3 linked regions of the Drosophila melanogaster genome follow. The protein of the gene in region 1 interacts with the protein of each later gene in a pairwise test. Each region holds a gene or a part of one and is shown in the gene's direction. Other genes may lie near its edges.

The links.
Region 2: the proteins of RNASEK (region 1) and Syx8 interact in a two-hybrid assay, tested with the Drosophila melanogaster proteins (one large-scale study listed by BioGRID).
Region 3: the proteins of RNASEK (region 1) and Scp2 interact in a two-hybrid assay, tested with the Drosophila melanogaster proteins (one large-scale study listed by BioGRID).

The regions. Positions count from the first base shown.
Region 1 is NT_033778.4:4,182,925-4,194,559, reverse strand, and holds RNASEK (ribonuclease kappa), read left to right. Parts: upstream 1-6,432; 5' UTR 6,433-6,545; coding exon 6,546-6,614; intron 6,615-6,680; coding exon 6,681-6,800; intron 6,801-6,867; coding exon 6,868-6,966; 3' UTR 6,967-7,725; downstream 7,726-11,635.
Region 2 is NT_037436.4:16,585,608-16,589,057, reverse strand, and holds Syx8 (syntaxin 8), read left to right. Parts: upstream 1-2,000; 5' UTR 2,001-2,079; coding exon 2,080-2,617; intron 2,618-2,670; coding exon 2,671-2,831; 3' UTR 2,832-2,950; downstream 2,951-3,450. Other genes in the region: l(3)73Ah (lethal (3) 73Ah), read right to left, coding at 1-38, 101-206; CG32163 (uncharacterized protein), read right to left, coding at 1,258-1,689; UQCR-C2 (Ubiquinol-cytochrome c reductase core protein 2), read right to left, coding at 3,034-3,450.
Region 3 is NT_033777.3:16,577,928-16,589,592, reverse strand, and holds the start of Scp2 (sarcoplasmic calcium-binding protein 2), read left to right. Parts: upstream 1-5,929; 5' UTR 5,930-6,029; intron 6,030-10,445; 5' UTR 10,446-10,545; coding exon 10,546-10,603; intron 10,604-11,665.

The DNA.
Region 1 (11,635 bases):
CGCGTCGGTCGTCGCCACGCAGACATTGATTATTATTCAATAAACTTACAAGCTCAAAATTAATTCGTAGGCCATAGCCACGACATCCATAAAAACACAAATCTATTAACTTGCACACTTACAGTTGTTAGAGATATTAGAGAATATAATGAGAAAAGAAGGTCAGTTTGTGGACGTTATTGTGGGCGCGCCAAATAGTTTTTTGGCAAATTATATATCTTATATATGTTCTTATATAACATTAATGTGTGAGAGTAAATAGATGAGACCAAGTGAGACCAATTTCGCTGAACATAGTCGCTATGAGCGCGATAGCGAAACAATAAAACCAAAGACACTAAAATAACAAGATGCGTAACGGCCATAAATTCGTTTTGCACTATGCAGCCACTTTTTTGGTGACGGAAAAAAGTGCTCTCTGTCCATTCGCTTACGTTGAGAGCGTAAGAAATCTAAAAAATATAATTTGCTTGCTTGTGTGAGTAAAAACAAGAGACGAGAACGCGTATACGTGTGCCGAAATCAATTCTGATCGAAGAAACGAATTTACATATTTGGGGAGTTTTGGCCAATTTCGTAGCAATATGATGAAATTGCGCGCTGTTTAAAAATATCAAATTTGAATATAAAAAAAAAGAATATGAAAAACAACTGAATCTAATGTGCATTTTAAATAATAAAATTGGATTATTTACATACATAATATTAAGTCAAATGACTAATAAATATACTAAATAATTAAAGCAAATACAAAGGAAATTATTATAACTACTGTAATCTAAAACATAAATTTTACAAATTTAATTTTTCACGCGCCGTAATCTGAATACTCTAATAACAAATATTCTAATATAAAGCCATTTTTAAATTTTTTTTTTGATAATATGTGCTATTTATATATTAATATATTAATACATAATAATATAATATAATATAATATATATTAATATTTGGCTATTTCTAATCTATTTTTAAATCAAATTTACAATGCATGAGCATACGTGTGCACACATACAGTTGTCTGCTATCACTGTATGCGTAGAAAAGAGCTGTTCGCTGTAGCGCTCTCCGCTCTCTCGCTCACGAATAAAAATTCGAGAGAGCCTGGAGCCACTTCTAGAGCCACGGCAAAAAAAATCGTGTGCCAAAAAATCGTATGGCGTTACGCATCTTTTTATTCTAGTGTCTTTGGTATTACAATGCCACTAGCGATATTACAAGCCTAGTAAAACCTGCAAGCGAATTCGAAATGCCAAACGGTACAAAAAAAAAATTCGTACTGCCCACTTCGAATCACGGACAAAATTTTCTACGGGCACATGGAAAAACCCATTGGTCAAATCTTATTTTATATATATCTTCGCATTCTGAAGTTTGTCTAAGACATTGTGGCATCGGAAAATTATCTCGTATAATTTTCTCATTTACTCATACATACTCGGATGTACTTGGCTGTATTATACATTCTTTTAACCGTTCCCGCACCTGCTCATCTACAAAGTTTTGATCACTATACGACTGTCGCCTGGGATGGTGATAAACTGAAACGTCATCTTTCAAAACAGTTTTCATCTCGTCAGGGGCATTTGTGTTACGGATTGGACAATATTGTTCAATCATCTCCAATTCCGTTTAAGCTTCAGGCTGACTAAGATGAGATAAATCTACCTTAGAAGTTGCTATAAGCTCTTCCACACACATGCATAGAAATCCATCATTCACCTGACGATCAAATATCTATGTATCCCTAATTTTACCTTCTGAGTACCACTTTTGGTAACCTTCATATCCACAGTGTCCAAAATTGTCCTTTCTAAAATAGGTTCGAAACCCATATCCTGATCTTGAATCATGTGAAATTCTACTTCCATTGTATCTATTAGAACGGATATAATAATACTTCCAAATGTTAAAATACGACTTTCTCCAATTCCCGACAAGCCCTTTCCTTGACCAGTTATTTCTGCTGCTCCTAGACTCATGAAAACTTGTCTGCGCACAAGTCAGCGCCCCTGTTTGGGCGCCAGTTAAGGCATTGGATGATTGGTGTTGTGTCGTTCGTGAACGAACGAACTAAATTGAACTATTCACCAAACTGAACGAACGAACTAGGTCTGTCCTTATAGTTCAATATAGTTCACTTAGTTCAATATAGTTGCAAACTCTTTATTATTTCTTATTATTATTATGTATAAGTGTTTTTGACATAAATTGAATAAATAATATTAATTTTCAATGACAGCTTGTATGAAATAAATTCAAACCTTTTTTTTTGTAAAGCAAAAGTTTCAAATGAACGATTGAACTAAATGAACGACCTAGTTCATTGATTTTAAACGAACGAACGAACTTATTCCCCAAATTGAACTAGGTTTACCTAACACACACAACAAAATTCGAAAATTAAAGGTCTCATGGTCTCAAATTGTTCGTTTTGGTGTAAAACTTAAATTTGTAAAGTTTTAGCCCGGTCGGATAATGTTTAGAGGTGCTGTATTTTTTTGTAAAAATTCTTTGTTTTTTGTGAGCATCCATTGCATTTGCATGTGCAATATCAAAAAGGTTGTCCAAATTGTCAACGAAAGCCGCTTGTTTAGCTCTTGTTCTGTTTTTATTCTTGCTGAGATTTTTGCAGTCGTCAAAAAGTTTTTCCAACTAATTAATACAATGGTATTCTTGGCGGATAGCGATTCGGGATTTCGATTTGGGCATTTGGATTCGAACACGCTTTACACGTTAAGTCCCGGTTAAAATTGTAAAAGAGTTGCACAGATTTTGTGTTCACGTAATGATTAGAGCTATCAATATTAGACACTTGGAAAATACTCAATAAAATGCGGTAAAACCGCTAATTCTTAACCAATTTGAATAGTTAAAATCATTTTAAAAAGAAAACTAAACGCACTACTTAAAATAAAGTTGATTAAAGTAATTTGCGACCTAAAACCTTAAATAGAATTTAGGAATTTAGAAGAAAACAGAATTTTAGCAATAAAAAAATGCCTATACGAAACTTTTGGTTAAGAAAGGCACCTCTAAACATTATCCGATCGGTCTAAAATTTTACAAATTTAACAACTTAAGACCATGAGACCCTGCGAATTCGCACTTTCGCAAAAAAGCTGAACGATAATGTGGAGCCCCTTATCTATCTCCAAAAAAAATGGTCTCCCTTTAGCTATGTAACAGTTACCCGATTTTAGAAGAATCAAGAGTTCTCTTGTTTAAATACTATGGTAGCTAAGTTTAGAAAGCTTGTTTTGGTTATTATTCGGAGGAACCCAAAATAAATATCCGGCTCCATTATAGAGATTAAATTTACGAAAATAATAAAAACATAATCAATTATAACAATGAAGTGATCAAAGAAACTTAAAATACTTATTGTAATAATAATAAATATTATATTATAAATAAAAAAAAAAAGAATAAATCATAAAGATAGTCGAGTTTCCCGACTATCAGATACCCATTACTTAGCTAGTGGGAATGCAAACGCGAAATTTCATAAGAAAAAATGTAAAATTTGACCGGTTCGGTCAAAAGTTCTTTGGCAATTCGAAAGAACTAATAAAATTATAAAAAAATATCCAACAAATGTGGGCGGGTTAGTTTTGGGCTAAAGTGAACGTGAAAAAAGTTTTTTGCAAATCAAAATTTCTTTCGATTAAAAATGTGAACGAATTGTGAACGCTAAGAGCGTAAGAAATATAAAAATAGAATTTTCTTGCTTGTGTGAGTAAAAAAAGAGAAGAGAACGCCTATATGTGTGCGTGTTGTGCTAGAATACGATTTTCGGGACGAAATCAATTCTGATCGAAGAAACGATTTTACATATTTGGGGAGTTTTGGCCAATTTCGTAGCAATATGATGAAATTGCGCGCTGTTAAAAAATATCAAATTTGAATATAAAAAAAAGAATATGAAAAAACAACTGAATCTAATGTGCACTTTAAATAATAAAATTTGATTATTTACATACATAATATTAAAATGTATATCAATATTAAATATTATAATAATATTAAAAAATATCAAATGACTAATAAATATACTAAATAATTAAAGCAAATACAAAGGAAATTATTATAACTACTGTAATCTAAAACATAAATTTTACAAATTTAATTTTTTACGCGCCGTAAGCTGAATACTCTAATGACAAATATTCTAATGTAAAGTCATTTTTGAAATTTATTTTGTGATGTACATAGATTTCGCTATTTCTAATCTATTTTCAAATAATAATAACGTTAAGGCAATGCAAACAAGAATTTTTCGCATGGTGCCAATTGATCAAAAATAATACAGACTTAAGACTTTGCTTAGACTTAGACTTTGCATTGCCTTAAAAGTCTAAGAACTTCTAAGGAGAAGGGCATATTTTGTCAAATTTACAATGCATGTTGTCTGCTATCACTGTATGCGTAGAAAAGAGCTTTTCGCTGTAGCGCTCTCCGCTCTCTCGATCTTGAACAAAAATTCGGGAGAGCCTGGAGCCACCTCTAGAGCCACGCCGAAAAAATCGTGTGCCAAAAAGTCGTTATGGCGGTACGCATCTTGTTATTCTAGAGTCTTTGATAAAACCCTATCAAAAAATAAGACAAGACGAAATTGTAGGTTGTCAATATTTTTGGAAAAACCAAATCAGACGCATGTGAACTCGTTTATCGCGCGAGGCGAGTTGCATCTCAATTGCGCTGAAGAATACATGTTTTTAACTGGTGTCGGTTGATGGATAGACTGGAAGTATGAAATCGATCTTTCGGATAAAGGCACTGAGTTCTGGGGTATTACCACTGAATGTGGGTATTTGCCTAATTTGGCTTAAGGCTTGATTCAGATGGGATTCCGATAACAGTTTGACTTGCTCGGTTGCCATGGCTGATGATTTTATTTTTATTTTTGTTTTTACACTTTTATTGACCGTATGCAGTAGGTTTGACTATTGCGTGTCAACCACCGATTATAAGTAGTTCTTTTGCGGATAAAAGAGTTAATTGTATTACGATTTTATGTTCACTTTAGCGCCGATTCGCGTGGTTCAATCTTAAGCAGGGTTATGGCGATTGATAACGTACTCAGAACTGAACTAACGTATTGGGGCATGTTTGGGTTTATGTAGGCAGATTGGGATAGCTTAAGAGCGAAGCTTAAGAGAACAACGTTATCAACGTCTATTCTCCTGTTAAGAGAGGAGCTTCCGAAAAATAGGATTAATTGGAGAATCCTGAGACGATTGTGTGGGCGGAAGTTTTTGTTATTTCAGTTGGTTCACCAAGTGATCGGATATTTAGGGGACGTGGACGTTGGCTCGACGCAGAGTCTAGACTTTGGAATTCGGACTTTTGCACTTTGCTGTGAGTAATTGACAGCTAAGCTTAATCGAAGGGCTCTCGATCTTTAATTACATTTCGTACTTACACATTGATGTGTGTGTGTAATTGTTTACGATAGTGTGTGTGGTTGGGGAGTTGTGGGTATAGAATGGATATGTTAATATATATATATGATATAATATAATATATATATGTCGGTGAAGCCGAGCGTCCAATTAATTAGCACAGCAAGTCGCCTGCGTGTTGTCTCTTTGGCAGTTCTCACCAGACTTATTTACTCAAGCGTCGCCTTCTCGATGCTATTCTTCTATTTCTCATCTTCAAAATTCTTTTTTTGTTTTATCCTTACTTCGTTTCCACAAAACTCTACCACAACAACAACAGGCGCCATGCTAATTTGAATACACACACAAATGATGCCCACTCAATAACGGAACTCATTCCGTGAATTTTATTACTCGCTGCTCATCCTTAACATACGGATCAATAAACAAATGTCGGTTACATTCAAATAATAATTCAAATAATATGTTAGATCTACTCAATCTCCGACATATATATTAAAATATTAATAATTATAATAATAAAATTAATAATATTAAAATTATTATTATTATATATATATATATGTATATATATATTTATTTATTATACTTATTGTATTGTATTGTATATATATATATATATATATAATATATATATTATAATATATTATATATATATTGTTATATAAATTAACAGGCAACGATTTTGTGTATTGCGATTTATTATGCGACTATGCGCGTTCTGATGAGTTTTAAAACTAAAGACAGAAAACTTAAGCTTAATATGAAGTAGCCCGTTTTCTGAAGCAGCGCTCACGGCAGAATGCTGACATCGCGCTTCACACGCTCCGGGCAGTAGAATGTTGACCATTGCGCTTCACACGCTCCGGGCAGTGACTAAAATTACTAAAACGGCCCTTGTTCCTTTTCCACCGCTCCTAAATCGTCACTAGCTCACCGACGCTAGTTTGACGAGCTTATGTTTTTTATCGCTTACATTTGCATCAGTTTTTTAATTTTATTTGTGCACAGCCACACCAAAAGTTTGGTCACATGATATGTTCACCTGACAAAATCACAGTTTTCATTGAGGAATTGTGACGAATTGTGTTTGCTGAAACTTTTTATTCTCTTAAAAGTGTTTAACAAAAATTTAAGAAAATGAAAATCTGTGGCCCGAAACTATCACTTTGTGGTCTTATTATCTCTGTTTGGGGTATTGTCCAATTGGTGAGTACTGAGAATCTAATTTCGTCAAAGTTTCAAAAAGTAACCACTTACATATTTATGTTAAAGGTTTTAATGGGTCTATTCTTCTACATAAATAGTGTAGCCCTCATTGAGGACTTACCTCTTGAGGAGGAATACCATTCGTTGGAAGATTTTTATGCAGCTGCAAATAGAGCATACAATCAGGTATGTTCTCTTTTTACAACAACCATATGTACACATACGTCTGCTAATGCAAGGTAAATTTTTTCAGAATGCCTACAACTGCTGGATTGCCGCATGTATATATGTTTTGACTTTGTTGCTCTCCGCCCAGCAATTTTACATGAATAGCAGAGTAACTGCCAACTAATATTTCAGATGTAGTTTCCCAACTACTTAAAACTAGTATTGAAATTTTCCCTTCGATATATTTGTTAGAGGTGTTTTCCTTTTAATAAAGTTAAAGTTCAATTTAAATGTTACAACATGCTTATTGTATTAAGGGGCGGAGTGAGGAGTTTGTGTTTTTTAAACCCCAAAGAAGACTATTCACTTCATTTTTTATGTTTCATGTGTTCAGTGCGCCATTCACTTCTTATTTCTGTTATATATTTAAATTTTGAGAATTAATATATTTGATTACTATAGTAGCGATAAATCCAAACTCCGGAATTTCCTTCAGAGTCATGAAAGCACTTTTTTTTATTAAAGAGGTCAATCTGAACAAATTGTTGAAATGATATTTTATTTCTCCACGGGAATTTTACCTACGGAAGACCTAAAAAAAGGTATTTTAAATGTTTATTACGGTTATTACTGATATTGTGTGGAACGGTTTGGCGAGACATGAATTATTCGTACTGTTTTTAATTTTGTTGATAGCTATTATTAAATTACCCAACTTACAAATATTTTATTTATAAATTAATTAAAGTAGTTAGTAAGGTCATTACTGTCTTGATTTCCTATATCAAGCTGGTAATTAATTATGTTACGTTACGTCGTTCTGTAACATGTACATATGAACACGAGATTATCTTGTGCGCTGTGTTGCTGTATCCACATACACTAGTCGGTAAGCATTTTGACAAAATAAACTCCAAACCTTTTTTCAGTGAAACTTTTAAATGGTTTAATATGATAGTAATGTCTATTTTTTGTGTGTAAGTAAGTCGAACCTTTACTAAATCCTCCATATTGTAAAGGATCATCTCTTTAAAAAGAGAAGTGATTTCAGAAATCGCCTTCTAACGAGTTTTGTGTCACGGAACAGTTATTTTCCGTTTTAAAAGAGACCAGATTTCTTAATTATATTTAAATCTGGACTTTGAGGTGCACAATTCAAGAGAGTGACGCCAACAGCCTTTAGAAACTTGGCTATCATTCGGGCTTTGTGGCACGGAGCATAATCTTTCTGCAGGATAAATGATCCTCGATCAGCCTATTTCCAGAAGGAAACGCATTTTCGTTTAGGGTCGTCAAACATTGCCTTTGGTTCATCGAGCCGGAGACAGGGACCAAGTCACCGAACCGAAGACACTAGAGTAACAGATGCGTAGTGCCATACTCTCAAATTTTTGTTCGAGAGCGAGAGAGCGGAGAGCGCTACAGCGAACAGCTCTTTTCGACGCCTGCAGTGATAGCAGACAACTGTATGTGTGCACACGTATGCTCATGCATTGTAAATTTGACAAAATATGCCCTTCACCTTAAAAGTTCTTAGACTTTAAATCTATATTATTTTTGATAAATAGGCACCATGTGAAAAATTATTGTTTTGCATTGCCTTAACGTTACTATTATTTAATAAAGCTTAGAAATAGAAATAGCCGAATCATAATATCACAAAATAAATTTCAAAAATGACTATATTAAAATAATTGTCATTAGAGTATTCAGCTCGCGACGTTGTGTCCGCACTTCGTGCCTCAAGATTTTTCAAGACTTTTGTAATAAACAGTTTTTTAAGCAGTATTTTCTACAACGTATTATTTGTAGACAATTTTTTTTCAATGTAATGACTTTTTTTGGAAAATTTTTGTTTTATAATTACAATTATAACAATTTCCAAAATGTGTTGCAATAGTAAAGTACGGAAATATAAGCGCAAATAGTAATTGGTAAGTAGTGGAAAATAAACGCGAAGTTCATGTAAATATAGGACCCATTACAATTGTAGTGGCCTCCCCGTGGTGTTCCCTGGGCACCGATTATTACATATGTATGTCCTCACGCCCTGTGCCATTAAACGTCGTCAAACTGGGCGGCCACTACTTTTGGGAAGCCTGGCGGTCAGATTCCACTGCGTTTCAACGGCTGGGGTTTTGGAAAATTTTTTTTTAAATTCCCTCATAAAGACTTTGTCGTCAGTGAATGTTGTTAAGGCCGTTAAAACCTTTTAAGTTTTTTTAAATCATTATGTTTTTATACTTTTTAAATTGATAATACACAGTTTGACGCGGCAATTTAAACTGCTTCGCAAAGTTTTTTACTTTAATTCCAACGTTAAACTGTGCTTCCATTGATGATCTACAACAATAAACGAACTTAACTGGGCCTTTTCACCCATGGCCATCAATCAATAAATTTTTTTTATTTTTTCTTTTTGTATAACGTTTAACATCATAAAAAGTACAATTTAAACAATTTTTGATTTACAAGTGCTTCAAAAAAGGATACAATTTACTAAATAAGCTTGTCACAATACTTGTGCCAAACAAAAATTGATTGTCTGCGTGCAATCTTGTAAGAGAATGTAATGGGTAATCTGTACAAAAATTGGCAGTCATTATTTGCATTTCTCTTCGTTTTCGCGCTGTTTTTAACGGTATCAAGCGAAAGAGAGATTCAAAAAACAATATTGTTAAAATACGCAAGACGGTGCGATTCATCTTTAAATAATTGGCGCTCAACTAGTGGTGAAAACCACCACCCACCATCACTATCACCAACAACCTACAGCAACGAACACCAACACACAAACTTAAAAAAATCATGTGAGTTGGAACCGATGCTAAACGCAATTTATAATTATGTACCACAAACCGCTGTACAGAATCGTTTAAAAAACAAAAAAAAAATACATTGTTAATCAACGCCAATGTAACGGTAAAAAAAATGTTTCCAACAAAAATTTTTTTGAACAAAAAATACACGATTTTCAACAGTAATCAATGTGAATAGAAACAAAAATCATATAGTTTTTTTTTATAACATTTTATGTTTTCATTCGATTCAAGCGCGACATTCCGCGCTGCAGCCTTTGTCTTTATTTATTGTTTGTCTGTCTTTGGTCAACTGCCACCCACACATACCTAAGCGAAATGGACTGCTCATGCAGCCCGGATTCTCACAGTATACGAATAAAACCATACTCCACAGACTCAGAGTCAAGCTCCCCCTCTAAGACGAGTAACCGCGAATCACCCTGCATTGGCGCTAGATCCAGAACAGCGTAAAGCTGTAATACAGGGAATTGTGGCCAATACTTTAGCGGAGGAGGCCGCCAAAAACGAACTCACACAAAATGAAATGCGTCAGAAAATTCAGGAACTGACCAACGGGTTGGCAGCAGCACATGTCGCGCCCACCTCAGCCGTGGCCCCCGTAATTAGAACCTACGAACCCATAGATATAACTAATAATTCTCCATGTAGCGTGACTTTAGACGCCGTTAAATATTTGCCTGAATTCTCGGGGTCACAGGAATCATATGTTTCGTGGTGACAAGCGGGGATAGCCGCTTTAAAATTAAAAAATTTTAAAAATTTCAACGGCACCTCTCGCCATTAAGGCAGTGACAAGGCTGGCTCTCCGCTCTCTCGTTGGATCGCTGCGGCGAGTGAAATGTTGTGTTCTCTTTTGTGGCGCCGTCTGGATAACGGAACTAACTGTAGCCTTGCTTTGCTCTGGTTGTTGTTGTTCTTGGAACTGCAAGCTCGATCGTGTTCCGTTAAGCATTGCCTTCGCTTCTGCTAGCTCTGCGCGTAGTTGCTGTAGCTCGAACATGTTTGTCTCCCTCTCACTGCCAGTTTCGGTTGATTCTTTTCTGTTCATCGCATTCACACTTACGTGATCGGTGTTAATTTCACAATTCTGGAAATCCAGTGAAGAAAAAATGTCGTTTCCTGGTGGAGCGTTTTTCTGGGGGTGCTCCGGTGGACAATCGCCCCGAACTGCCGTTGGGATGTCTTGCAGCCAATCTTACGTAGCCAATCTTTTAGAGTTGTCAGCGAAAAGTCGTTCAGGATGATTTTATCGTCCATTTTGGATTATTAATCCCACTTCTGAGATTTTAGCCGCCGTTTACAGAAGTTAATATTCGAATACTATTTCAATTGTCTCTTTTATTTCGATCTGTACTCTAGCTTGGTTCAACAGCGACTGACTGCCGCGCTCTCTGCAGAGTGGCGAGTCGATCAGTCGATAAGTTTCTCGATAATATTTGTATGTATGTATATAGTAAGGATGGGTGTATGAATGTATAAGCTTATGACTAGATTGGCTATGTATAATTAGGTATGTATGACTAGGAATGTATGACTAAGAGTAAAGGAAGAGGGTAGAAGGAGCAGCCTACTACACTAATAATACCAAAAATCCGTATTTCTATAGGCAGCACAGGGCTCACGCCGATCCGCAAAATGTCAAAAATTACAAAAACAACGCACACCAGAGCCTATGGAGGTCGATCCCTCATTTTCTAAAATGCTGCAGCCGACCCATGCAAATGGGTACCAGAATAGAAGACCAGTCACCTCTGAGCGCACAGGCGCCGTGAGGAAACCGCAAAAAATTAACTTCATTTTGCAGAATGCGAAAGAAAAGACAGGAGCCGCTGCCGTCTCCAAAGCGGAATCGAAAAAAATTTCATCCGACCTCGGAAAGAGCTAAAGGGTATCCGCCCGGTGGACTCTCCTTTCGAAATTCACTCAATTCATGGCGCCACCACTGTTACAACAAAATTCTCCGTCTCGATTTTTATTTGAAAGCGACTTTTTTCATTCTACCAGATTTTGCAATATTCGACGGGATAATCG
Region 2 (3,450 bases), on another chromosome or scaffold:
CTTCTCCTCCAGGTGCTTCACCAGGCAACTCTTGCAAACTGTAATTGCAACAAACACTGACGTTATTGGGCAGGTAGTGTTCCATGCCGGACCAACTCACATGTGTGCAGACACTCCGTCACCGTGGTGGCATCGATGAAGTAGCCGCCGCAGATCTTGCACGTTATGTGCGGATTGATCGTCTTCAGCTTCACGCGCCGCTCCATGCTGGCCCCCCGATTGTGTGCTGAACTACGTTACTATATCCTATTTATCCCTATTTTGCAGCGGACCGATGGCTTGCCTTGCCTTTTCGATTTCCCACTCCCGCGCGGAAAACGCTCAAAACGGCGGATGCGCTCGCTTCCGATTAGTGGGAATGCTCGCGCACGCTTGTACAGGCACTCGGCATTGTGGCCAGCGGATTTTGGTCGCGATTTGTTTCCTTCTTGGTTGTAATTTGAAACAAATAAAATAGAAATCACGACTAAATAAATTGTGTGTACGTGTGAGCTAGCGATGGGCGATAGTTGCGTACCTGCTACTAGTCGCGATTATTTCACCGTGACAAGTCACCGCTTTGGCGGCATGTCACGACTCCATATTTTTCAAGTACAAAATTGACGTAGCACAGCAAATTTTAAACAATATGAATCAAGCATACCAATTGCATACTACTTTTATGAAATCCTGCAGCATACTTCCAAAATATTTATAAATAGCGCTCATTGTAACCCAGTGATTTCTTCACACCTTGTGTCACAGCCATCGTAGCCCAATGCATGCATGTGTGGGTGAATCGTGTCACCATATCGATACCGTGACTTTGTCCACCGCGCCGGGCCGGTCCCAACTATCGTATGTGCGTGGGTGGCCGGAGTCTGGCAACGCCCTTTGCTAATTTCAGGGTGGTCACACAATGCAAGGTGGTATATATGGAAATTAACAATTTTTTAAAATATATTGTGAAAACTAGTTTACATATTTTAAAGAGGTAATAAAACATTTGTTTTTAGAAGCATAACAAAATAGCTTATATAAGAAACCGTAATTTCGTCATTAAATATAATCTGTTACCTTTCGGTTTAGAAATTTTGAAATAATTTAAAAATAAGCCAATTCAAATTATTTTCATGTAATTTTTCAAAAACCGAAGGAATTCAACAAATCTGAACGCAAATATACGTTTATATGTATGGTGTCTATGTGCATAGTGGGGGGATTTATTTGTGTTCAGTTTGATTGTGTCGACAATTTTGAAGTTTTGTTTTCGGTTCCCTAATTTAATATGTACTTGGCGTATTGCGGCTCATACTTGTCGATGTAGTGCTGGACAAACCGACACCTTATAATAATGAAGTGCCCATTCAACAGTGCGTAGTCCAGTGCCGACTTGGCCAGTAGCTTCCCAATGCCATGTCCGCCCAGTTCCTCCGGGACGTTGGTGCTGTTGATGGTCATCACACCGTCCCTGATGGAGTATACCAATACAGCCCGGAGCTCGCCAATGTCGGTGTAGAACCGACCTCTCTTATGCCGGACAACAATGTGCGTACCAAAACATCTTTCCTGCGAATTTAGGTTTGGAACCTTTAAAATTTGACCAGTTAGGGTGTGGTTACTTGTGGGGATGGTGTAATCTCTCGAGCACAAGGAATACGTTCTTCGGCCACCTTGCAGAATCAGAATTGGAAGCAATTTGGAAAGCATTTCTTAATTTTTGTGAGTAGTTTCAGGAATTCGGGCCGAATAATCATACTTCACATCATAGTGACGATTTTCGAGTGACCAGCTTAAATTATTTAGTAAATAGTTCACACTAGCAACGCACCTGCGAGGTGAATTGATAAAGGATTGGGGATTAATCGCGGTGCATTTTTCCAGCTTATCTACAGCTACATAAGTATAATATCTAAATCAGTTCAAACATTGAAGATTATTTCCGAATCCCTTCTTACTGGCAATGTGACCGTACTCGCGCTTACTTATTTTGCTACCAGCCATCAGCTGTTGCTCGGCTATTGTTTTTGTTTTTGTTACTTGGATTGCTGGAGGCGTAGTTTTCTGCTTTTGATAATTACTCATAGCAAAAGCAGAGAAATGGCGCTGGTGGATCACGATTCCTGGGACATCGAGTACGAGGGCTGCGAGCGACTGCGGCATCAGCTGCTGGTATACCTCAACCAGCGGCAGCAGCTCAATCCGAGGACGAGCCAGTTCGTCCAACTGACAAGCAGCATTCAGACGGGAATAGAGCAGCTGGCCAAGGACATGAAGCACCTCAAGGTGGTGCTGGACAACGCCATCACCTGGGAGACGAGCCCGGAGGAGGAGCTGCAACAGCGGCGCATCGACTGGGATAGACTTACTTCGCAGCTGCGCGAGATCCGCGAGAAGTTCGCAAACAGTAGCCGCTCCAATGTCCCGGCCGCATCCGGTTCTGCTTGGCAGGATCAGGATCTCGGCCCAGGTCACAGCAATTCCTCGCGGAATACCGCCTTGGATGTGGAGGCTCTGAAGCAGAAAAAGACCGAGATGCTGGCGCAGCAGAACGAAGGACTCGAGGTTCTATCAGCCACATTGTCCAGACAGCGCCAACTGGCCACACAGCTGGGCAACGAGGTGGAGGACCAGAACAGTGGGTATTCCCCAGTCCCTGCACTACCAATGCTAATCCCTACCTCCTTGTAGATATCCTTGACAACTTGGCCAATGCCATGGACCGTGTGGAAACGGGTGTGCAGCGGGAAACACAGAGCATTGGACAGGTTAACCGGCGGGACAGTACCTGGGGCTACTGGCTCGTCATCATAGCCTTGTTCGTCGCCATCATTGTCGTGGTCTTCGTCTAGCTCCCACGATCCATTCCAGTTGTTATACTACTTTATACTATGACCTGCGTGGAATGTCTATCTGTTAACCCAAAGTTTGATTATTTATGTATACACCAATTAAAGTAGGATTTATAAGTATTTACGTTCGCGGATCGATCCCCTTGATCAGGTTTATTTAGTCGTTACATTACGGTTAACAGATGTACAGGTGTTTATATACTTAAGCCAAATCGGAGGCGTAGGGCACGTTCGCCAGGTGCCCGATGGCGCCGACGGCCAGCTTGGAGCTGCCCACCTTCTTGGCCGCCTCCTGGACCTGCGACTGCGAGATGCCATCGATTGCGCCAAGCAGGGCGTCCGCCTCCAGCACGTTCCGGGTGAGCGCCGCCTGGCGACCGATCTCCTTAATTAGACCACCGTCCGACGAGTAGCGCGAGATGATGCGCGCCTTCAGAAGAGCCTTGCCTCTGGCCACATCCTTATCAGACACCGAAGCCGACTTCAGGCCGCGCACCAGGAACTCCACGGTCTTGCCAATGTCCTTGGAGTCGGCGGAGACCACAAAACCGAACAGACCAGCGTCCGAGTAGCTGGCATTCACAGCCTTGACAGAGGCTCCGACGCCGCCGGCGCAGTT
Region 3 (11,665 bases), on another chromosome or scaffold:
GAGATTGTCAAATATCAAGGTGAGTTGATATAAAATACGAAAATTATGTCATGCTGGTCCGAGATTATGGCGCACTGCAGATGGCACAGTCAGATAAAGCCAATTATCCAGCACACAAACAAGTAAAACGGGCAAAGAAAAGCAATAACAGTGAGGCTGCACAATTACTAATTGCATTTTAGATTGAGGCCTGTCAAAAGCCAAGGCAATTGCATCAAATTTGATTTTCAAATGAGCCTGCAATCAGTGGATCAGCAGCCGCTCGATGACGTCCACTTACGCGGGGGTCTGATAAGAGAACCCCCCCCCCCCCTTTTACTTATCACTCCAGTTAGCGAAGAAACCCCCATGGCCAACCATTGCTCTTATCTGGCAAACATTTCGTTGTGAAAGTGACGCAGTCTCAGATACAAATGCGGCAATTGCCCTGCTGTACAAAAAAAAAAACCCAAAACGGAGAAAGACAACCGCAGTTTTTGTTTATCCAAAATTCTTTGGCAATGCTTGGCCAGGCCATGTCATAACCTTAGCCTAGACCTCACACATCACCCAGTCATCCAGTCACCCAATCCCCTAATCACCCACTCATCCACATATCCCTGCCCTCCGAAAAAGGACACCCACTCAGTGGCAGGCGAGGTCGTCGGAGATATAAATTACCATAGTCAAGTGGAACGGTCTGGTTTGGCCTGCCGCTTGCAACATTTTTGGCACAGAAGTCGAGACCCACTGCTGACTGCTGGCTTTTTCATGGCTTCCGTCGCCACAGTCGTTGCCAAAATCAATGAAATTTTCAGCTTCCGCTGTCATTGCGCCCGTCCCGCCCGACATTCGAGCCAAGTAGGGATTGTAAAATTGGGCCGGCGAGGCAATAATTGTTATTATACCATCCGTTTGTCTGGTATTTATTTTGCATATGTGCTTGCATACGGGTATTGGCCAAATGTTAGGCAAAATCGCTAGGCAGAAGGGCTTGTCATTACTCTGGATTGTTTGCTACACTGTTTACATATTCCTAATAATGATCCGAATTCCTTTTGGTAACAAAATTTTTTTTAGCCTCCGAGAGGCCTCTCAATTTCAGAGAAAGTATGCAAATGGTCGCATGATGAGAGAAAAACGTTCAAACATGATAAGCCTATGAGTATGACAATAAAATATCCATTATGTTTCAATGTTGATTTTAGTTGCAAAAAAAACATAGTTGGAAAAGCTTCAAATACGCGATTGGTTAAAAAAATTTCCAAAATATGTTATGCCGTCAATTAGTTATAAGAAATTCCATTTCAAAATATTTGAACCATATATTTCAGCATTGGCTATTCTTGAATGACTATTTGTTGCTTTGTTTCCATGGCAAAGATTTCGACATAAATAGCTTCTCAAACATAAGATACTGGCCTGCAAATAAATCTTGCACTATCTTTGCGAATTGTCAAGTACATATCACATCAGCTGACTGGGAGATAGCAGATATTGTTTAATGTTTACATAGGCCTACGATACCCAGCAAAATCGTTCTTTTTATAGAGCATTGCCGTTCCACTGAGCGCCAATTTTAAATTTCCCATGTATTTAGTATTTTGTTTGCACTGCTTCCTGGCTGTAAGCAAAAAAGAATTTCGAATTCCTTTGGAAGGTCAGCTGGGCTAAAAAAGTGATCCCAGTGGCGGTGGACAGGCTTTTGGCGAGTCAAATTAAAATTCAGTTTATGCGGTCTGAAGAGTGGAAAGCTGAGGGCGTTATGTAAGCCTTTGTTTTGTGGGTGGGAAATGTAATAATTCCGCAATGATCCTCAAAGCAGGTGGAAATAATTGCGCAAGCGTTTTCCCGGGCCGGCGGTAAATTGAATTTGGCCCGCCTGAAAGAAAATCTGCAACTGCAGCGAAAATCTCGGGTCATCAATTCGCTATTCGGCATGACTGCAAGGATGCGAAGGATCTGGGTCTGGGCATTCCAGTGCTGCGACTAAACTACACGAGACACATTCCGTTTGGCAAAACATAAATCTGGCAGCCAGCACACACAAGTGTGCCCTCCCAAAAAGAAAGCCATGGCTTTCCCCCCAAAAAACAAACACACAAACAGTGAAATGAGAGAACAAACAAATAGTCAGAGATGCGATTGCGACTACAGATGCAGATACAGATACTGGTGCAGTGGCGGATACAGATACAGATACAGACACGGATCCAGATACTCCTGCTGCAATCGCATGCAGAAATGTTGAAAACATTGGAGGACATGTGTAATTTCTCACGTGCAACTGCGGGGTCTCTCTCTTTGTTGATTCCCATCCCGCCACTTTACCACTTCTTCACACAATTGGGGGAGAAATGGCAGAAGGACGCCCAGCTGAAGACAAACAAAATGCCAAATGAAACAAACAATAAAAATGTTTGTATGTACGTAGGTAGCAGCAGCGGCGAGCATAAAAGCAAAGTGCTTAAAAAATAATAGTAAATTACACAGACAAGCACCGGGTACCCGGCCACGACACGCCCCCTTTTTGCCACACAGCCATGCATGACAAGCTTGCGTTATTTTGGGGCAAGCTGATTTAATCCCGGGCAGCAGGAGCTGCACAAGCAGCAAGGACGAGGACGGTAGCACCTCGGGCCCAGACGGTCGTTGGGCGGGGGCGTTGAAGGGTTAACGCTTTGCTCACCTGTCCTAGCCCAAAACGCCGCAATTTGCAACGCCCCACCCAGTGAAATCAGTGGACGGAGGACCTTTGGCTGGGAGATGGAAATTAGGAGGGGTCAACGTATTGCCCTAACGTTTTTTCGGCTGCTCGCCTTTCGCGGCACATTTAAATTCAAAGGGAATTCCACTTTCGGTGGATTATATGCAATTTCTTTCGCCGAAACACTCAAATTGTTTTACTCGCCATTTGCGATATGAGAATTCATGGCACATGGTACAAGTGTTCCGCTTCTGATTATGCCAAATGAGATGATTCCTTCGAAACGGCAGTGAGTGCTGCTGCAATGGAGGTAAATGCAATTTGGTTTAAGTTGCCCATGATGGCACACGAGATTTGCATTCGGCATCAGCCAGCTCTATTATATGAAAATACTGCTGAGCGTGTGCTTGATTTTTTACGGAGCTTATCTCGGTGGCATCCACTGGGTGCAAATGGAATTTCATATATGATTCACAAACTTTTCGCTGCTCCAAGATAAATGATTTATTTTCTTCTATTTTTCTTTCCATAGAGTCCAGAGCCGGAGACTCATCCTCGGCTGGGATACAAATGTTTTCATTAAATTCGGTTTGTTTGGTGGTTTCTTTTGTGACCCGCTTTGTTCTCGGTGGCCATTGTGGGGTCCATTGCTGCCATTTGCTACCGGAGGAGGGCCACCCATCTGCCACCACCCACTTTTGTTGCCAAGCTGGAACACTAAACAATACAGCAAAATTACTTAATTTCATGTTGGTCTAATCAAGTTGCCATTGCCGAGCAGGTAAGCGACGAGTGTGTGGCTGGCTGGCACGGAACGTCCTCCGCACAAAGGTGGCCAGCGGGAGCTGGAGCAGCTGAACCATATGCGGGGGAGGAGGGCAGCTGAGGGTCCTGGGTGGCAGCCCTGCTGTACTCAAATAATTTGCCGTTACCGTGCACCTTTAATGTGCCTACACTTTAAGGATTTTACAATTACCATTAAAAATATTAATTAGTTTTCAAGTTTTAATTTACGTATTTTACATTTACTACTAAAAGGAAGGAAAGAAACTTTTCTGTTGATTTGGAGGGGTATTTAATATATTTAAAAGTGGGATAAAACATAACGATGAATTTATTGATTCTTAAGTCATATTGCCAATGTACCAATTGTGATTTTTACTCCCATACAATTTGACCCACTGTTATATATTCATAATCATATAGCCTTTTACTGTTGTTTTGCTAGTTGCTCGACTGGGTTTTTGGAGCAACTTTTCTCAGTGTACTTCGTCCGCTCGTGTGTGAGCCACAACGGAACGTTTAGTGGTCCCACTTATGCGGCGGAGCAAAATGAAGGGAAGAGGCGATGCAGCAGACGTGGAATGGAAGCCCAAAAACAAAAAAAAAAAAACTACATGAAATAGGTGGACAGCTAAACGTTGTGAAATGGGGCCAAACGCTAGAAGGCATTCAAGATTTTAGTGGGTCTTTGGCCAGGCTCATGTTAATTTCAAACTGTGTCAATGTCGGCTTCCGTTTCCTGCACACACACACAGGACGTAGCCTTTGGCCACTTGAGATGCAAAGAGGTAAAAAGGCCACAAATTTAAACATTTGCCCACTCCAACACGCACCGTCGCTCCCACACACACACACACACACTTACAAAAAGAAATCAAGGTGGCCGGAACGAAACATTGGTAAAACGGTCATCTGCAATAAGCATCAGCTGCTGCTGGAACAGCGTGAAAGTGGAACAAGCAGAGGCTGCAGGACACCCGCTGGGCGAGAAGCACAGGATGTGGGCCAAAAAGGCACGGGGAGCCTGCTCCTGAGGCGCTTGATAAATTGGTAGCGACATTTCAGCCGAAACTTGACAATTAACAGCTGAAATACATGAGCTGTATATGTCTGCTTTGTGTAATTAAAAACCCAGCAGACAGCCTGGAAATTGCTTGGCCAAAATGCTTTCATTTTTTTTTCGGTTCTAGCCACTTTCGTCGGTTGGTGGTCCACTCTTGGACAAGATTGAATGCGCCAACAGAAATTATGCCGCCAAGTGTGCCTTATATTGCTGCTACTGCTGCTCTTGCAGCAGCTGTTTTGGCTGCCTTCTTCTTTGGGCCAAATTAACTTTAGCCAAGTTGAGTCCACAGCCAGCCTATGTGTTTGTGTGTGTCCGTGTTGCCTTCTTTTAAGGGAGAGCATGCCTGTGTGAGTGCTTCAGTTTATTGTGTGTGTGTCAAGGCTATGCTAAAAATTTGTCCAGAACATTTGCACATTTTGATTTGTTATGTTGTGGTGCACTGCAAACAATGTCGATGTATTTGGGTGGATGCTGTACGAGTATTATGTTGTATTGGGTCTCATCTACATCATCGTGATCATAATGTGCTGTTAGCAAAACTCAATTTCTTTTAAATCCTTTGGGGTTTATTTGCCAAGTTGTAATTAATTGAATTATTTCCCAGAAGAAATTATTATGTTGATTTATCTTCGAGTATACGTTTGCTGTATTATGGGGAGCGTGCTATAGTTTATTGGTAAATTAGTAATTTATGTTGACTAATAGATTGCCTCCTTTTCGGCTTTATCATTGTTTTTGTGCAGCTTAGACTTTGCTTCTTCGATGGAACAAAGTTTTGCGATAAAAGGGCGATCAACGTTTAAAGTTGGCTTAGGAAAACCTCTAGAACAGTTCTAAATTTTGGTAGTAACTAAACGAGAAAGCCAGCACACATCCCTCAGTGTCTTTTTGGCCACCCGAGGCGTCGTAACCCCTGAGCCCAACATTGTATGCGAATGCCGCTCCGATAAGACGTGCCATTTAATTACCAAAATATAAAGTGCATTCCGGCTACCAGAGCGCCCAGCATGGAGTTTTCTGCGAGTGTCAAATCCCAAAACAAACCCACGAGCAAATATGCCGCATGCTGATGACGACGGCGATGCCGATGTTCGGCTCGTAACAGTGCACGTGGTGGCCAAAAAGCACGCTACATGCACTACATCTACTCATACACTTACTCACACACGCACACACACACACACACACACACACAGGCTCGTGTCGGGTGCAGCACTCACTCACACCATGACGAGTGCAGAGGCGTCGGCAGAGTCGACCGAGACGGCGACTGCGATAAGATAAAGCCCCTGCGATGACATAGAGCACCCAGAGCGCTCGAGTTCTGCCGACGCTGGCAGAGATGGCGGCGCAGACGAGTAGCGCATATAAAAGCCGCTGACTCGATGGCAACGAGCATCACAAGACGGCCAACCGCGCTGCCGAGCAGACGAGTCCAGTTCGAGAGGGTACCAAAATTTAATCAGAAAGTGTAGAGTCAGTTTAGAAGCAACGGTAAAGTTAACGTCTATCTCTGTGTGTGAGTGTGTGTGTGTGTGCGAGTGCTAGTGCTAGTGCACCTGTGTTTGTGCTGAGAGTTTCCGCTACAAGAATAATAATGCCGCAACATTTTTCGAAAAAGCCCATTTCCAAAACCGACAAAAGAACAAGCCAAAAGTAACGAGCACAAGTGGGTGGCTCAAAGAGCTGCGAGGCTCAACAGGAACCAGAGCCCCAGTTTTCCTTGAGTGGGCAGATAGTTTGTGAAAGAAAGGTGGGGGTAGGGTATGCTGGAGGTACTTTTGCAAAAAACACAACCAACCTCTCGACAATTTAACAACTGGAAGAATATTCTTACTTCGCCCCACCTTGGTCAGGGCCATAATGAATTCATTGAAAGCGTGGCCAAAGTTTTGCTCTGGCCAAGCCAAGGAGAAGCGAACGCTGCCGCTCTAAGGATCCTCGTCCTGTCAGTCAGTCAGTCAGTCAGCCAGCCTGTGTCTGTTTTTTCGGTCCTGTTGTTTGGCCAGGCATGCGTCGGTGGCCTTAGGCCGCTCATTGTGAGCTCCTTGGCTCCACAGCTCCTCGGTGGCTGCAAATTGTAAATTGTAAAACTGTAAATTGTCAAACTGTAAATTAATGCAAATTACACGAAATTACTGCGAACCGGACAATGCAACAAAAGGCAAATAGTGGACGCGGAATACGGCGGACAGTGGACAGCGGACCACGGACAATTCCCGGAGCTGCATCAGCAGATAAAGAGCAAACGGCGACGCCACTTGCATTGTCTATTATTTTAAATTGGCTGCGCAAATTTACGGCAGCGCAAAAGTAATTAGCGACGGTTGAAAACTGTGCCATCGTCCAACTCGAATTGAGAATGAAGATGGGTGAGAATTGGAAAAGCGATTGGGTCATCTGGTCATCGGGGGGATTAGGCTGCTGCTGGGATCAGCAAACCGAGTTGTAGATTCCCTGCCAATGGCAGGCCAAATACGTATTCCACTGTCCAATTTGCATGCTGATGCAATCAAAACTACTACAATTTGTCCAGAAAATCGATCAATCGCATGTCTGACAGAGTGTAGCATACTTTTCAGCACTGCCTAACATTTGTCAGCTATCTGCATTTTTTTCGGACCCCATCCCACATTTTATTCTCTAATAATTTATGAGCTTCCTGCCTGCCCTCGCCTGTCGGGAATTCAGATTTTGCATAATAAACACATTGCAGCCCAAACCAAAAAACAAGAACCAGTTTATGCAAATCAAATTGTGTTGATAAACGAGTGGTAGGGTGTTCTCTAATTTGATTGCCCAATAAATTGCTGTATCGAATGAAACCATTTCGCATCTCGCGCGCCGATACTAAAAAAGCAATTAAAGCATTGATGTCTTCATATTGAAATTTATAACTTCACAGATGGCTATTAATTGCCGGAGAGGAGATAAAAGTCTGGGATTTCCGCCATATTTCCATTATTAGAAACTCGTTGCTGCGCTGCATGGCCCGAAAAATGAAAGCGAAACTCAAACAGAACCCAATTAACGAGCCTTCGGCGGTGATGTTGGTTAATGTGGTTGCCTCGTGCCACAAAAGCCGACGCAGTTTTGTGGCAAACAGCGCGTGGCTTTTATGCATTGGCGCATGAGTATTGGTAATTAATGGGAAGGCGGCGGCACAAATGACCGTGCCACAGCGACAAACAAACTTCCGCGCCACACGGCGTATGCGTAATGTGCTCGGCGCCCTACAAAGCGGAACCCAGCGGAAAACTGAAAAACAAATGACATCGATGAATTCAATTTGCGCGCATATTTAATTATTAAATGCGAGGATAAATAATACGCACATCAGGCTATTAAAAGGCTTTAAATTTCCACGGCCATTTCCCGTAGCCATTTCGAAAGTGCTACTGAAATGTGATTTCACTGCATTGCAATGCATTGGCTAGCAGGCTCGTAGATTATCCAGTCGAACTTAATCCCGTTTCCAATTGACCTGGAACAAGCAGACCATTTATATCACCTTTTATATATATTTATTTGCATTGATAAACTTATAAACATATAAAGATTTATGCTAGGAGAGAATATATCAGAATATAACAGAACTAAATAGTATGAATATTTTTGGATGAATATTATTGGCTCCAAACTGTTGTATGAAAACGGTTTCATTTGTCTTAAACGACGAACAAATTTCACAAGTGGTCTCATATTGATTTGTATTTTCCCGTATAAAAACATTAATTTCCTTATGCCCCTGGCTACGTGATTGTATTTCAGTTGAAAAGCACTTTTCATTCCCTTCTGGAAAGAAACTCACGGAATTGCAATTGCCAATGGAGATGGAAAGGGCGCCAAATTGAATATTACACTTTTTGTGTACTTTTAGCCAGTTGAGATGTGGATTATTTTTTCAGCATTCATTTTTTATTTTAACCAACATACTACCACTCCAATTTCACCTGATGTTAATTGAGGCGCACGTGGGAAATTAATGAACTGTGACAGTCTGATTTTTGCGCGCAAATGTGTGTGCATTAAATGCTAAATGAAGTTGACATCGGCTGCCGCATTGTTTGAGGCCATCGTTAATTTATTAATTAAACAAGCGATTTAACCTATTGCAATAATTGTCAAAATTAACCTTTATGACAGCGAAATTTGTGAATTCAATTAACATTGCCAAAGTCAGCTTTGCACAAGATTAATCGTTCTAAGGGAAAATGGAAGGAGGGCTTATGCAGCTTATGAATTTTTGCAATATACAGCATTATGAATACTGGGCCAGATTATTTTTTAATTTATTTTGACTCTTAACTTTTGACCTTGCTATGACATAATTTTAAATAAAATGTGGGTAATATTGTTGATTTTATTCCGTTTTTCATAAATTGTAATTGAACTAATCCACTTTTAAGCCAGCACTCACCTGCACTTCAGATGCCCGAAGGCAATAGAACCAATATTGATAATTCTTCCATTAGAATAACAATTTCCCCACCATTTTCTTGCATGTTTCAGCCCTGACTTGGCTTACAAACGGCAACCTTTTCGCCATAATAATATAATAATATTATCTTTAGTAAGAGTCAAATTTACGCGCACTTGACCAGAAACCTTTACGCCGTTCCTAGATCGGATGTCTTATTTGAATTTGCCTCTTGCCAATTCGATAAGCTCGACTCGGAGAAATTCTATTTAATTCCATTTCCGAGACAAACTGCATTTTTGCCAAACGGAAGTGGTCCGCTTTTAGCCATCAGCCATCAGGCATCAGCCGTTGGCCATCGACGCTGTCTTGGCCATCCCGGCATCCTCGTTGCCGTTACCGTTGCCGTTGTCATGTTCATTGCATTCCACTTTCCACTTGACATCCTCGCTGCAATTTCCCTCTGTTGTGGAATTATGCTTTGGCTACCTTAGCGGCTCCTAGCTGAGCGAAACAAACACCAGTTTCTGGGGTAAGGGATACCCGAAATGAACTAAGGCAAATATTTACTAGGCTTGTACAATGACTTAAGCCTCTTCCAAATAAAGATAGTGAACATGAACGATGCGTTTTGTTCTGCCTTTAAATTCTATTCGGGAGATGTATTTTATTACATATAGTTTATACGTTATATTTCTTTCAATTTCTTCAATCCGATAGGGTTCTGGCAAAGCACTCGGCACTCGATTTAAAGTCCCTTGAGACTCGCGTAACGCCACCCATAAACGCTGTGAATATGAGGTACTCTTTTAGAGGCAGTTAATGCAAACACGAAGGCTTTCACAGGCTTTCAGCTTTGAGCGCTGGCAATGGCCCGGTCTGGTCTTTTGATGTTTGGGGGCCTGTTTACTGCGTCTGCACTGCCAAGATACATTCCACAATGCATGCATGCATATATAGTTCTGTCTAATTTAGCACATGGCCCTGCCTTGCAACTGGCTTCTGATTGAAGGTTAAATGAGCCATGAGCCCCACAAACACACACATAAGCATACACTCGCACGCTCGCAAAGGGGGCGGGGCTGGGGGCTGTCTGAGGCAAAGCCATTGCATTTGTGTCGCTTTTAGCTCGGCACTCGACCCGCCTCTTTTCCCCCAGGATGCATTTGCATTGCGCACAACAGCGCTTTCGCTCTTTTCGCATCCTTAGACAGTCCTGTTTTATTTCCTTTGCCCGAATTAGCTGGCATAAACCAAGCCAGTCAACTAGAGCTAACCCAATCCGTTTTCCTGCTGCCCCTGGTTCTATTCTGCTAGTTTTGGTTTTAATATTTTTTTTCTTCCTAGACTGTTATTTTTACGAGGCAGCACCACCCCTAATTGAGAAAGAACTTTAAATTTAAACGCAGCCTTGTTTCCGAATACTCTTCATTTGCCATTTTCTGCCATCGACGATGTCCGTTTAATTGTATTTTTCATTGTCATTGCAGTTCCCCATTTCCGGTTGCAACTGTGGTGAGCCAATATAAGCTCAATAAAGAAAACAACCAGCGGTAAATCAAACACACAAAAAAAAAAACCAACACAATAATGTCGATCTCCGATTTCCGCAAAAAGAAGCTGCTTTTTCTGTTCAATGTGTTCTTTGGTGAGTATTTATCAGAATGAAGAATGACCGATGTGGAAAAAAGGAGTTGCAAGTCGCAAACCGCACGTGACGTCCATTTTAAGGGGAAAATCCCAGTCATGGGACGGGAAAACTTTGATTAGGTTGGAGCCGAAGTGGAGGAGTCGGCTTTAATAGGAGTGTAAAACACGGCCAAGATATTATGAGAATTTCTATAATAAAATCGCAACGTGAATGACAGACATAAGCGTGACGTTCACTTTCGATTTAAGCACCACCATATGTGCTGTGAAAAACAACGCGTATACGTAATGTGGTCCTATTGCATCGCGTATACGTAAGTGCTTGAAATCCACTTAAATACGTGGAGTGTATTCCGTTCCATGTTTAATGCACAGGAGTGTTTGCCTGTCAGGGAAGTCAAACAAAACTTGCCAATTTAAAATTAATTTAAACGCAATGCAAATGTCGAAGGAACAACTTTCGTGGAGAGCTCACGAAAGTAGGCAACACTGTGTGTGATAAAGCTTAAGTGCATTTCAATTATGACTAATTCACCGGTGCGGTGCGGTTCTCTCATCCCTTGATTCCCATCCACAAAATGTTCTCTGCTAACTTGGCTCACTGCCCGCCTTTCGGCGGCAGCTGGTCAGGATATAACAAAAGAGCAGCGTCGAAAAAAAGGGCATAAAACGCAAACGCCAAACACTTGACACTGGCACTGAAGTGGCCGTTTGCACACCGTTGCGAATGATAATGGTACGCCCGCATGGCCAAAAGCCAAACGCAGGGCTTCGTGGAAATGGCACTCAAAGAAATGGTCACTAAAATAAACAAAAAATTAATCTAGCGTGGCTAAGGGGGTTTATTTTAATGATTTTAGCGACTATTTTGGCGATAAAAAGCTAGTAGTTTCTTAGGTGTTAAAATCACTAATCGAAGACTATAGATAACTGAATGGCTTAGACGAAATGAAGCTTTCCTAAATATAATTGGGGAAATTTAGTTTTATTGAAACTCATTAGTAAATATGTTCATTGGAAGACAGTCAGGCATTATGAGAATTTCTATGTTGAAATTAGG